Caenorhabditis elegans: one gene and its partner. The protein of the gene in region 2 interacts with the protein of the main gene of each other region in a pairwise test. Each region holds a gene or a part of one and is shown on either strand. Other genes may lie near its edges.

Region 1 (5,379 bases), on a different chromosome or scaffold from region 2:
TTAGATATGACAAGGCATCACGAAGATCTCAAGACTCACCCGGCTTCTGATACGTGACCTAGAAATAGTTATAACTCGGCCAGCAATTTATCAAAAGCAAAAAAGTTGGGAGGAAAGTATAATTTCATCTTTTGAAATCGTTTCTCTTAAATTTTAGCAAATGTCCATTTTTAGAATTTCTTTGACTATTTTGAGTTTTTATTTTAAAAAAAAGTCCATTAATAGAAACTAACATAAGTACTACTAAGAAGGCGTCATATTGTTATTTTTGTTTCAGATGGATGTACGTCACTACTTTTTATTGAGGTGCTCTCATGAGGAACCAGAATAAATAAACTATTTTATAACACACTGTACCATTTCCAATTGTTTAAGAAATTAAAAAAATAGAATAGAACTCACAGAAAATCAGTTTTTTTCTGAATCTGGCGGCGAAAAAAGCCAAGATATGGACGGAACCTAATTTTGGGGTGTTCTCTAAGCAAATTTTGAACATTGATTTCGAATACTGAATGTTAGAAGAACGCCAAATTGACGGCGAATAGATTAGGAAAAAAAGGTTTTCAAAACAGTAATAATGTATTTATAAATTCTATAGAAGTATGACATTCTGAGAATATTATAGAAAAAGAGATTTCGTATTATTATTATTATCAAATCATTCTGTGAATCTTCGTATCATATGACTTACTATTAAACAACCAAAATGAGCTGAACCTAAAGCCTTGAAGACCACGAAGTGACCACAGATTAAATACTGGAGGAAGAAACAAAACAAGTAAATAATCATAACAATTTATCTATAAAATCCTTTCAAAAGTTGAAGTAAACAACATCCTTTGAGATATCATGATTAAAAAGAATGAATAATGTTTCTAAATTTGTATAATCCTCTTCCTCTTTTATATTATTTTTATGATTTCTTCTGACTTTGAAGAGAAACAAAATCGGATTCAGATAAATTTCGAAAATTCTTGATTAACTCGGATTAAATGTCTCCTGACAATTGCACAACGAGCAAAACAGATGAAGGGTAGAAGAAGAAAGAGAATTCGTAAGTAAAGAGAATCGAGAAGAGAATAGAAACTGACATAAAAAGTTAGAAGGTTTTATGATTAACATATATCGCATGTTTCTTCGTGTATCGAGAACAGTTTTTTCTCTCTTTCAAATGGAATTTTGAGAGCGAGAAAATTGGCAAATATTATTATTTTTCGTACATGTGAATAGTTAAGAGCTCTCTCCTATAAGAGTATATTTAACTCGACAGGAGGGGTTACTGTACCCATGTACATATTTCTGCGTTGCGTGGCCGCGAATGTGAAAAAACTCGGCCACATTCATGAAAATTTTAATTAAAGGTTTAAATTAAATCACTCATATGGTCAAATTGGCGAACATCATAGTTAACATTTTCAAAATTTGCTATACGTTTTCGTATTCAGTGACAATTACGTTGCTTTTTCTACAAGTTTTATATTTGAACTACGTTCCAATAATTTGTATTTGAACGTTGTATGAACCTGCAAGATGCTCGGAATTACTAAAAATAAAATCTTTAGAAAATCTGGCAGTTTTCCAAAATGTGACTGAGATTTTTGAAAAAAGCTCACATATTCTTCTAAGGCGATTTCACAACTTTTACAGGCTAAAATGTTTTATCTTGGATGGGATTTTCCTTTTGAGAAAGATGTAATTAATACTGTCAAAAATCAAGACCAAAAACTTTAAAAAAATTTTGATTCTCGAACTATTACACAAGCTGGGTAAATCGACACATAGTTAGAGGTTCACATAAATTTTCTTCCATTTTTAGAAAAAAATTTGGGAGTTTTAAAGCTTGCTCAAATTCAGTCAGCAAAATGGTATACAATTTAGTTTTAAAATGTTTGGCTTACTTATTTTCCTTTCAATTACAAAAATCTACATTTGAAAACTAACTGAGTATATGTATCGCTCATAGAATTTTGATAATCATGTGAGAAGCAGTATGTAATGAGTTCGGAATTGCTTGCATTAATTTTGTCAATGAACTGTTACCAAGGTAACCATAAATGTGACTGGATGAGTTTGATGTAATGAGCTCTCGAAAATTGATATCATTTCAGTTCTGGATGATGTGAAAATATAATAGTAACGGTTCTTTATTTTCAGAAAACGTTGGCTTCAAAAGACTGGTCAGGTGCCGAAAAGGGAAGAGTGAAAGAACATACATATATGGTGTTCGCTAAGGCATGAGGATGCGCAGAGATGGAAAATTATTTCAAGTTTCTATAAATTACAGAAAATTGATTTTTGAAATGCCAACATTACGGAGTAAGAATAAAGTTTAACTTCTTATTCAATTGGTAGAATGGAAAGAAATAAAAAATGGAGCAACAACAAAAGAGGAACATAATTTCAGTGGTTTTGTCGTTATTTTGTTGCTTTTCCAGCTCTGTTTTCCATTTTGGCGAGCTCAAAGAGACATAAAAACAGAGCCAACCAACTCTTTTTTCTCTGCGCCTCTTCAACAAAAAGAGTGACGACAAGGCGATTTCTCTGCTCATAACGTGTTCTCTCTCGTTTACACACTCTCTCGCTTTCTGTGCAGTAATCGCGCTCCGCTGGATTATGCTACAAAATGTGCGCGCGATGCTGGCACCTTGCCATTTTATTCTGATTTTCCAATTTATTTAGGCATTTTTATTTTTTTTAATCGGTTTTCTCTTGTGAGGAATCAAATAATTCATAATTATTTTTAATTAAACTTCCCAAGAACGAACAAAACGCAGGAAGACAATACTGTTCTTTCGAAAACTGAAACATGAGGCCGAGGGTTTAAACTTTAAAAACTAAAAAAAAACAATTTGGTTGCTGTTTATTTTTCTCAATGCGAGCAAGACCACTGCTCATCTAACAACTAATTTTCAAAATTTATTGAGACAACCCATCTCGAGTAAATATATAATTCAATTGTTTCGAAAATTATCGTATTCTTCGTTGCTTTTTCCTACCTATCTTATTTATTTTTACTCTTTTTCAATTATTTTTCCCAATTTGTCGTTTTTAAAGGAATGAGCTTCAATCCTGATTACGAAAGTGTTGCAAAGGCCTTCATTCAACATTACTACTCAAAGTTCGATGTTGGCGATGGAATGAGTCGTGCTCAAGGTATTTCGTCTGAAAAAAACAATAAACTTAGTGAATTTCAGGACTCTCCGATTTGTACGACCCAGAAAACTCTTACATGACTTTTGAAGGACAGCAAGCGAAAGGCCGTGACGGAATTCTCCAAAAGTTCACGGTTTGTGCAAAAGTACGAGAGTTCAATAACGAAACACTTTTAGACTCTCGGATTCACAAAAATTCAACGAGCGATCACTGTGATTGACTCTCAGCCTCTGTATGATGGATCAATTCAAGTGATGGTTCTTGGTCAGCTCAAGGTAAGTAGAAGTAGTTTTCAAAAAAACCGAAAAAAAATTATTCAGACCGACGAAGATCCAATCAATCCCTTCTCGCAAGTCTTTATTCTCCGTCCAAACAATCAGGGTTCCTACTTCATCGGAAACGAGATCTTCCGACTTGACTTGCACAACAATTAGATATCAATTCGTCCACTTTCCTATCAAAATGTGTCCCCGTATTGAACAATTTTTCAAGAACTGAATTTTCACCAAATTGCTTAAATATCTATTTCAACCCGGCTTTTTCCATGTTTCTAAATCGGTTTCTTTCCCCACACAGTTTCGTGTCGTTTTACTATTTCGCACAATTTCAAACTTCTAGTTTGCAAATCGGTTCAAACTAAAGAATGAAGTTTTTATCATTTTCTTTCCGAGATATCGAGAAAATTTTGTTTAATTCGTTATTATTAGTGGTTTTTCAACCTTTACAATACCTTTGACTTTTTCAGCAATGACCTCAAAAATATAAAAATTAAATACAGATGGTGAAACAAGCAACAAAAGGGCAGAAAGAGATCTATGAGGAGAATCAGAAGACTGTCACCACTTATAGTGTGGCTAGCACGATTAGCATGGTAAACATTTGTAATTTCACATTTCAACGATTTTTTAAAAATTGTTTTAGGCAATCTACTATTCATCGTGTATGTTTCTGAGCCAGTGCTCTTCCACCGATTATGTATTTTTTGCTGTCTCAGCGCTCGTGCAGATCTTTGCTATTCTTTTCATGAAATCTTTAGCTAGTAAGTTTGTCTTACCCATTAATTTTTTGTATTAATCTGAAATTATGATTTTAGAAGCAAAGCTTGACGATAAAGGACATGTTTTGGATGCTGGTGCCGATTTGAACGATCCAGAAGCATTCGGAGAATACTGTAAAGACGCCATTATTCTGACAGTCATTATTCAAGTTAGTTTTTGCAAAAAAAAAGTGTGGGAAAGTGCGCATTAATAGTTCAAAAATGAAATATTCTATCTTCAAATGTATAATTTACTCTGTTCCCAGATCATCTCACTCTATTCTACATACGGATTCCTTTTGCTCCTCGCCTTTCCTGGAGCAGCCACATACAAATTTGTTGCTGGATTCCTTCTACCATGGTTGACCGCTGGATCAGACTCAGATGAAATGGATGACAAGAAACAGAAGAAATTGGACAGAAGAAGAGAAAAAGTCGTGTACAGACGTTAAATTATAACTTCTAGAAAACAATGTTCCCTAAGTCACTTCAAATTTTAAATTATAATCGTATTTATTTATTGCATACTTGTAATGTTTATCTATTCAAATATTTTTTTTTAATACACATTTTTTCCAAAAATTTTAATGTTTTTATTCATGGTTATTTTTCCCGATCGCTCTTATTTTAGTATTCTCAAAAACTTAAAATGTTGTCGATTCTATATATAATTTCAGAGATGTTCCAGCAGCGGCAGACACCAACAGAATTTTCACAGATGGACGATGTAGTTTCAATTTGTAGGGAGATCAGTTCGAATATCATTTCCACAGACAAGAATGTTCCTATTTCAAAAATGATTATTCATGTACTTATAAGTTATTTCAAAATTAAAATTATCAATATGGAGCATTTCAGAAAATCTTCAAGAATCCCCACATCGATTTGTGCTCCATCCTCCCACCTCTAATACAACAACATTATCCAGATTCTCCTTATTGTCACATCCAATCACTGATAAACTCAAATTCAGTTTTCTTCGAAACCGTCCTGGAGGATGATCAGCTTTGTACTGAACTTTGGGACAGTATTCTACATCAATGCGAAGTGTCAACTGCGGTATATTGTTTTACATAATTTTGATTCTGAATCCTTTTGAATTTTCAGCCAACTGAGCCTGCAAAAGATTCAATTCTGTTCTCAGCAGTTTCTCAATATGTCACAAGAATTCTTCCATGCGATGAGACGGC
Region 2 (8,626 bases):
TTCCAGCGGCACGGGACGAGATGGAGCAGCAGTTCTGGCACGACTCCTGCGAGTAGATGGCGGTGTTTCTGCAAGCCTGACGCTCGAACGGGCGTGGTCTCTGGATGAAGGATGGTCCGTAGGCTGGAGCATCGTATTGCTGGTTGTTGTTGTAGTTGGAATCTTGAGCTGGGGTTCCGTAGGCTTGTCTCTTCACGCGGTCGCCTCTGTGGTGACCGCGATGGTGCTCTAGAAGTTTTAAGGTGAACGGGACCCGTAGGAAAGTTGTTAAAACTAACTTCTAAGACCGACAAGTGGGAAGGAAGCGTGGACAGAGCAATAGTTGACGTCAAAGTTTGGGAACTGGTAGACTGGGTATTGGGGTTGGTTGTAGGATGGTCCGTTGTCGTAGCCACCGCCATAGTGAGCTCCAGCTGGGGCGTCCTTGACGTCGGATTGCTGGAAAATTGGACATAAAATTTTATTCGCTCATACTTACTGATAATTTTTTTCTAGTACTAAATTCTAAACTAGTCTAGATTCAAAGGTAGGTATTGATTACGTTCCTATACTAATAGTAAGCTACCTAGAACAAGTACTTCAAATGAATGATGGTAAATATTAAAAGCTAAACAATTATTACACTTTCAGTATTTAACAGTTACTACTTAATCTCAAAAGTATTTAATTAGTCCTAATATACCTCCCTGAATACTATTCAATATACATGCCTACTTATAGTATTACCTTTGTATCGGATTAAATAATGTGCCATATTCGTAACGTGTTTAATTTGAATTAGACCTACATCCTATTTAAGGTACATATATTTAAGGTCTAGCTACATCTAGCCACAGTAACTCCAGGAGCAGAACCTAGGTAAAAGAAACTAGTTAAATGTATACTAACCTTCCTAATAAGTTGAATTCTATTAAATATATCTACGCTTAATCAACATAGCATTTCATCAAGAAATCTTATTACCTCTAAATTTTCTGTCCGATTCAAGTTACACCTTAGCAAGTAATCTTATTTAGACTTACTATTTAGGATATCACAATATAGTATAGGTAACCCTTACGTGATACATACTAATGCACACGTGATACGGAATAAACCTAATCTTAATAACTTGAATACAACTAATTATACCTACTGACAATACATCAAGATTTAGTCAAATATCTATAACAGCTTTACTTTTTAACGTGTCTAAATCAAGTTATCTATCAAGCTACAGTAACCTTACAGTCCGTTTTTCCTAGTTCCAACAGAACCAACAGTAACGCTTACCTTCTCAGGAGCCTCGGTGCTCACAGCGCAGGTGACAGCGGCGCAAAGTGCCAGAGACGCGACGATCCAAGTGGTGGAAAACATGATGATGATCGGAGCCAAGATGCTTCGCCGCTTTTATACTTGAGATCCGCCAGAGATATGGAGGCGGGAACTCGGCATTGTAGTTTGAGGGGAAAACGTTAGGCGTTGGATAAAAAACAAAAAGGTTTGGAGCGCAAAAATGTTTGCTACGGAACCTGGAATTAAATCTCACAGCTGTGGTAACTGAGCCAACAAGTCAAAAGGCTCCAATACATGGTGAATCACTCGGACTTGATCAACTGGAAAAATGTTCCTTAACAGTTTTTCTACAGTGTTCTAGTTCAAAATGTGTTGATTTTCTCAAAATACACTTTGCTAAAAGATACACAAATTAGTTCTTTGAACCCCGCTGGATCTCAGACACATGTTGCAACACATCCTTAGGTCACTTTTTTTTCGACCGACTATTTTTTTCAGCTTTTCCATTTTCTTTTTTCTTCGCTGCTCAATCCATCACACATTCCGCTGGGCTCTTTTTCCTGCCGGCCGCAGCCGCCGCCCACCTGATTGCAACATGTTATATGAGAAATGGGATGATTGAGTGGGCTTGGAATTTCAGACATTTCAGATGATTTCATATGGAGCAACTCGTGATGGGTGAAAGTGCAATTGAATGAGAATGGAGAAATGTGCAAATACCTGGAATTTGGGCATGAAATAGATAATTAACGTATTATGTGAAAAATTTGTCTGACAAGGAAAGTAAGTTAATCTAGTCCCGGACTTCGAATCGAGACGTATGTCATTTGAAAGCTTATGGTTAGCCTAGATCACCGCAAAAATTTCAGATTTTTGGAAAAAAATAAAAATTTCCAAAAAGCTTCCACACTGTTTGTTTGACCCTAAAGACCCCCAAAAACAATTTTTAACCGCTCTAGCCACTTTTAAGGCCATTTACTTGACCTAGAATTCAGCAAAAAAATGCACTGGAGCACTTTCAGATGGCGCTTTCAGGGGTTCAGAGTTGAGTTCCGCCGCTGAAATTTTTTTGGTGATCTAGTCTAAACATAAGCTTTCAAAGGCATATGTCCTGATTCAAAGTCCGGGACTAGATTGACTTCCTTTCCTTGTGAATTGAAAGCTTTGGAGTGATTTATAGTGTTCCTAATGGATTTCTCTATGGATTTGCCAATAAAATTTCAACAATTTACATATCAATGAGCAAATTGCAAACACGTAAAATATGCATTACATAGTTTTACAAAGTTTTGTAATAAATTGATATTTATAAAAATACATAAGAGGGATACGAGCTGCTGAACAAAAATGCTGATTATGGTGCATTGAGAGTAGTTTTATTGTAAAATTTTGGCAGTAGGTTTTACATGCATTATTTATGCTTCAGATTCCCTTCTTTTTGGTGCATCGATGAAAAATTTACTGATCAACTTTAACAGTTCATATCTTCGTAGCCTTTGGTTTTATCAAAAAATTATCAACTGGCAAGTTATTTATTATTACTTTTTCTATAACTGTCTAGTTACAATTTTTTTGATATCTTGAAAATTAGCCGAGATATGGTGCAAATCTATCGATCATCTTTTCAATGTTTCCTCTTTTTTCCCCGTTCCATCAACTCAGACATTTCTACTTTCATCTTCCTCAAGCTTTTCCTCTTGATTTTTTTTTCTGTAGGCGGAGCCCATCCCATGTTCCCCCCGAACTATAAAAGCATGGCTCCGCCGACAAATCCATCATTCGATCGCTTTTCAGAAATGAAAACCGTTCTTCTTCTCACAGTCGCCTCGCTGGCCGCCGTCCTCGGTGCAAAGGTATATGGTTTTTTTGGATTTCCGCAATTTTAGGATAATCTGAAACATTTTCTGCAGCCAACACCCACCGAAGAGGTCAAGTCAGAGGCCGCTGCTGGTCGCTACGGCGGTCGTCCATCGTATGGAGGAGGAGGTTATGGAAATGGAGGAGGATATGGATACCCAGCATTCGGACCAGGATACTGGCAGCCACTTATTCAAGATCGTGAGTTCGTGAAAATTCAAATTTTAAGAGCTATAGTAATTTGGCAATAGAGCGCATTTGCGTAGACCTAGTTATGATTATACTTGTTTGAACCGCAATAGCCAACTTATTTCAAAAATGTAACATTTTTTGGGAATCATCAAAAAATTGACTTATTCATAGGTAGTTTTGTCAATTTTCAAATTTTCGAAAAATTTTGAAAAATTCATAAATTTCTCAGTTTTCGAGATTTTTCAATAATTTTTAAATCAAAATTAAGCTAGTTCTTCAAATTTTGTTGCAAAAATACTGTTTTTTTTTTTCAAAAAATCTGTAGAACTTAGGCCAATTTATCAGAATTAGAATTTTTGAAAATGTTTGAAAACCTGTAACTTTTCCAGTTTTTGAGATAATTGTTTGATTTTTATGTCAAATTAAAGATTAATTTTTTTTAAATTTTTTGGCAAAATTAACTGCGTTACTGTAGTATTTATTTAGATTAAATTTAATCTAGTTGGTGCAGAATTTCAAAAAAGCTACAATTTTCAAAAAATTTCATTGAGTTTAATGCCAAATTGAAGCTTAAATTTTATATTTTGAAAGAAATTGAAATTCGGTAGAAAACACACTTTTCCTAGGTTACGATAGCTTCCATTATTTTTTATACAAAATTCAAAAATTTACCCTTAAAATGACACAAAAACCATCCCAAAATCTCAAAAATTGAGAAAGTTATAGATTTTCAAAAATTTTTGAAATTTTGGACTTTTTTTTTTGGAAGAGTCAAATTTTATTGCTATTAAATTTTTTCGACAATTTTTATCGAAAACTAATTTTTCTTGAAAATTCAAAAATTTACCCTCAAAATACCACAAAAACCATCCCAATATCTCGAAAATTGAGAAAGTTATATAATAGATTTTTGAACATTTTCGAAAATTCATAACTTTTTTAGTTTTCGAGATTTTTTATTGAATTTATTGTAAAATTAGAGCCAATTTTTTAAAATTCTGTAGAACAAACTGATTTGAGTCAGGAATTTTTTTTGTCAAATTAACTAAAATGGTTTTTTTCTAAAATTTTCGAAAATCTACAACTTTTCCAGTTTTTGAGATATTTTATCAGTTTTTAAGTTAAATTGAAGCTGAAATTTTGAATTTTAAGATGAAAAATATTTACAGGCTTCGTATGCGACCTCGACGCCTCCGTGCTCCTCGTCGTCGACTCTGTCCGCCGCCATCATCGCCACCCACAGCCATACTACGGTGGAGCCCCATCCGTCCCAGCTAATCGTGCCGTTCGTGTAAAGTGCTCCGAAGTTGCTACCCATGATGAAGATTCCTGTAACTTCTGCTGCCAACAGACCGCCCGTCGTGACACTTCCCTTCCCAACGATCAACTCTTCGGATTCTTGGCTATTACCAAGGATGATGATGATGAGACATTCAAGAGATCCAAGAGAGGAGCTGATGATGATGATGATAATGATTCGGATTCTGATGAGAAGGACGGAAAACATGGACGTGGAAGATTCCATAAGGTTGACTCTACCTACTTGTCAGAGGCCAACTGGGAGCCAAAGAAATATCATAAGAATGTCAAGTGCGTGTGCTGTGCTCCAAGATCCTCTCCAGCTGCTCAGGTGGGGAATATTTTAAGGACTATTTTTTTTTGTTGGGAATTCAGTGATTTTGCTTTAATCTGGCTCAAAAATTACAAAAAAAATGTTGAAAAATGAGGAAGTTATAAATTTTCAAAAAACCGCGGAATTTCGATATTTGAAGATTTTGGCCTACGAGTCTAAAAGTCTAGTTTTGAAGACAGTAAATTTTTTGAAAATTTAAAATTAATCCTTTTTAAATAATTTCAAAATTTACTTTAAATTTGGCAAAAAAATCACTGAAAAATCTCATACACTGAAAAAGTTATAGATTTTCAAATTTCTGTCAGAATTAACAAAACTTTTAATTTTGGACCAATGACTTTCTTTTTGGTTTTTACCACAATTTAGTTTTTATATAACTAAAACAATTTCACTACAACATTTAACAATTCAGCTTTAATTTGGCCCAAAAATCTCTAGAAAATCTTGAAAACTAAGAAAGTTGAGAATGTTCAAAAAATCTCCGAATTTCGAAGTTTGAAGCCCTAAATTTAAGCCATATGACGAGTTCAAGCGTCTAGTTTTGAAGAAAATATGGTTTTTCAGCGTTCAGACTAGTTTTTTCCATAAAAATTGAAACTTCCGCTTTAATTTAACACTAAATTCACTAAAAAATCTCAAAAACTGAAAAAGTTTTGGATTTTTGAAAAATTTTAGAAAATTCCAAAGTTTGAGAATTTGGCATTAGGCCTACTTTTTTCAGCTATTTTACTGAATACATCACTCCAAACATGAATTTTTGTAAAATTTTAAAATTTATATTCAATTTGCCACAAAACTTATCCAAAAGTCTCAAAAACTAAGAATGCTATGGATTTTCGAAAAATCTCAAAATTTTGAAATTCGAAAAATAAGGAATTTGAGAGGAATTTTTCATGTTTTTGAACCTTTCTAAGACGATATTAAATTAAAAATTATTTTTTCCTAAAAAATATAAAAGTTTAGCTTCAATTTGACACAAAAATCACCAAAAACTCTCAAAAACTGAAAAAGCTACGAATTTTCCAAAAATTTTGAAATTCTCTCCAAAAATCTTCTCAAACTGAAAATTTCATCGGGATTTTATTGAATTTTGCAAAAAAAAAATCGATAATTTAGCCTATGTACCACTGAGTTTTAAAGAAAATTTCCTAAGAAATTTTTTTTTCAATTTCTGAAAACCCCTAACTTTGCCAGTTTTTGATATTTTTCAATGTTTTTTAGGTTATTTTGAAGCTCATATTTCAAAACTTTGAGGGAAAATTTATTATGCAATTCAATTTTCTTCCAGAACCCATCCTACAACAACAATGCTGCTCAATCCCCACCAACTGGCTACAACAACAACGCCAACGCCTTCGTCCAGCCACAACCAGTAGCTGCTCAGTCCCCACCAATGTCAGCCTCCCAGCCACTCGTTGACCTCTGGCAATCCGAGAATACTGCTCCATCAACATCATGGGGAGCTGCTCCAGCTGCTCCATCAACATCATGGGGAGCTGCTCCAGCTGCTCCACCAACCTGGGGAGGTGCTCCAACTGCTGCTCCAACTTGGGGAGCCGCCAATGATGCTCCACCAGCGGCCACGCCGGCTCCAGTTGCTGCTTCCAATGCTTATTAATTCGATTTTCTTACAAGTGACCTTTTTGTTTACATTTTTCAAATATAATTCGATTTTGCACAACCCAATAAATATCTTCTCCTGAAATTTTGTGCTACATAGCTATTTTGGAATAAACTACCAGTTTTTGAAGTTTCCGGCAACTTTGGAAGTTGCCAAATTTGTCATTCTTAAAATTTAGCTCTTCAAATTTAACTTTTGTAAAAGTTTTTGATAATTTTAGCAACTTAGACACTTGTTGAACTTTCAAATCATTCGCAGTCTCGCAACATACTATCAAATATTTTCCCACCTCTGGTCTAGATCATTTTGTTAAAACTCCTTTTTCTCAGAAAAAATTGACATTTTCCCACGTACTTTTCTACACTTTTTTGCTGTTTTCCAGACTTTAGAAAACCTCATGTATACATAGAAGCTTCACGAAAACCAGTGACCAGATTCCAAAAAGTTTTTGAGCCTGCTAGGGCTTCCCTGTAGGCGCCTGAACGCCTGCCGCGCCCGCCTTGCGGCGACCTCTGCCTGCCTTGCACCACGACCCGAATAGTGTCGGTCGCGGCCAAAGAACCACCTTTCGCACTTTGTGGAATAAACACCAAGCATTTAGTGCAGAAATTGAGCGAGGGGCAGGCGGAGATCAGGTAGCAGGCATTTTAACGCCTACATAAAAGCCCTATGGTCCTCGCACTTTCTAATGACAAAAAAATCTTTCACTCAAAAGTCCCGGCATATATGGTAGTCGGCGTTTTTGTATTTTTAGAGAAATCTAGAAATCAAAGAAAAACTTTTTTGGCTTAAAAATCTATGCAGAAATTAAAGCTACCTAATCATTAAATCTTGCAAACATTTTTTGAAATAACTTTGATTTTTCATTTTTTTTTTCAAAAAAGTTAAATTTCCAAATATTGATGCGTCACGTACACTAAAAAATCAAAAGATAATGCGCAACGTAGCAAAAAATGACTAGTAAAATTAATTTCCGCTCTGTTGGAAAGCTATGAGCTCACTCTGCAGCTCCCGAATAAATTGAAAAAACAAATATTTCAAAAATTTTGAGATTGTTTTTTGCAGCGGGTTTTTTCCGAAAAAAAGTGATTTCCGGGGGTTCTCAAATTAACTTTTTTTTCCTCCGAAAAATTACAATAACAAATTCAAATTTTTCATTTTCTAGCATTTTTTTAAGATTTTTTTTGGATTACTGTAGCTTCTACCGTACTCCCAGGAATTATTTTTTTATGACAAATAATTATAGCTTTTAGTTTTCGGAAGTACACTATATTATACGAGAACTCTGTAGTAGTGGAAAGTGCGGTAAAAATATATATTGTTTTCTCAATTTTCCAGAACTCAATCTGTTTTCATTCCTAGAAAACATTATCAACTCTATTTCCTCGTTTATTTTTGCATTCAACAACATAACTTCTCACGGTTTTAGCTTGATTTTCAAACCAGTTGGTTACTGTGGCTCCGGAAATACGCAAACACCGTCTACCGTACTCCAATGCACCGAATTTGACGGGACTTTAAGCTAGCGCTCTGGCATTTCTGGAATAAACTAATTGAGGGATGGAGAATTCGAAATGACTATTCAAAAATTTCTTTAAAAAATTTTAAGTCTAGAATATTTCGATGTTAGCAAATTTTCTGTGCTCGAACTCCATTTCTCAAAATTTTCAATAAAAAATTTGAATTCCCTGCTGTTTTTGTGTAACAGTCCTGTGTTACTATTGAAGAAAGTCGGCTCTCGGCGAGTGCACACCACATTTTTGGCAAAAATCCTAATTTTTCTCTCTTGCGCCGAGAGCCGAGAGCTACACAACACTGGTATAAAATATTTTTGAAAACCGGAAAATTTCAGATTTCACTATTTTTCAGTACTAAAAGCGAAATTCTACGATAAATTTGAACTTTTCAATAGAGTTCGTCAGAAAAAAAGCAAACTTTATTTTCACGCGTCATATACTATCTCTCTGTATTTTATATTTAAATTTCACCTGTTTTTATTTCAGTGATTTTCTGGAGCTTAACTCTCCCGAAAAAATGGGTTGGGGGCA

The links.
Region 1: the proteins of perm-4 (region 2) and ran-4 interact in a two-hybrid assay, tested with the Caenorhabditis elegans proteins (one large-scale study listed by BioGRID).

The regions. Positions count from the first base shown.
Region 1 is NC_003279.8:8,588,161-8,593,539, forward strand, and holds ran-4 (putative nuclear transport factor 2), read left to right. Parts: upstream 1-3,054; 5' UTR 3,055-3,056; coding exon 3,057-3,153; intron 3,154-3,194; coding exon 3,195-3,286; intron 3,287-3,329; coding exon 3,330-3,428; intron 3,429-3,473; coding exon 3,474-3,587; 3' UTR 3,588-3,818; downstream 3,819-5,379. Other genes in the region: tmem-208 (Transmembrane protein 208), read left to right, coding at 3,932-4,024, 4,075-4,192, 4,247-4,359, 4,456-4,641; R05D11.9 (Sphingomyelin phosphodiesterase 4), read left to right, coding at 4,869-4,997, 5,048-5,248, 5,297-5,379. UniProt on the Caenorhabditis elegans protein: Facilitates protein transport into the nucleus. Could be part of a multicomponent system of cytosolic factors that assemble at the pore complex during nuclear import.
Region 2 is NC_003282.8:1,119,531-1,128,156, reverse strand, and holds perm-4 (PERMeable eggshell), read left to right. Parts: upstream 1-3,049; 5' UTR 3,050-3,071; coding exon 3,072-3,128; intron 3,129-3,185; coding exon 3,186-3,333; intron 3,334-4,493; coding exon 4,494-4,954; intron 4,955-6,245; coding exon 6,246-6,575; 3' UTR 6,576-6,663; downstream 6,664-8,626. Other genes in the region: perm-2 (uncharacterized protein), read right to left, coding at 1-228, 279-438, 1,273-1,356.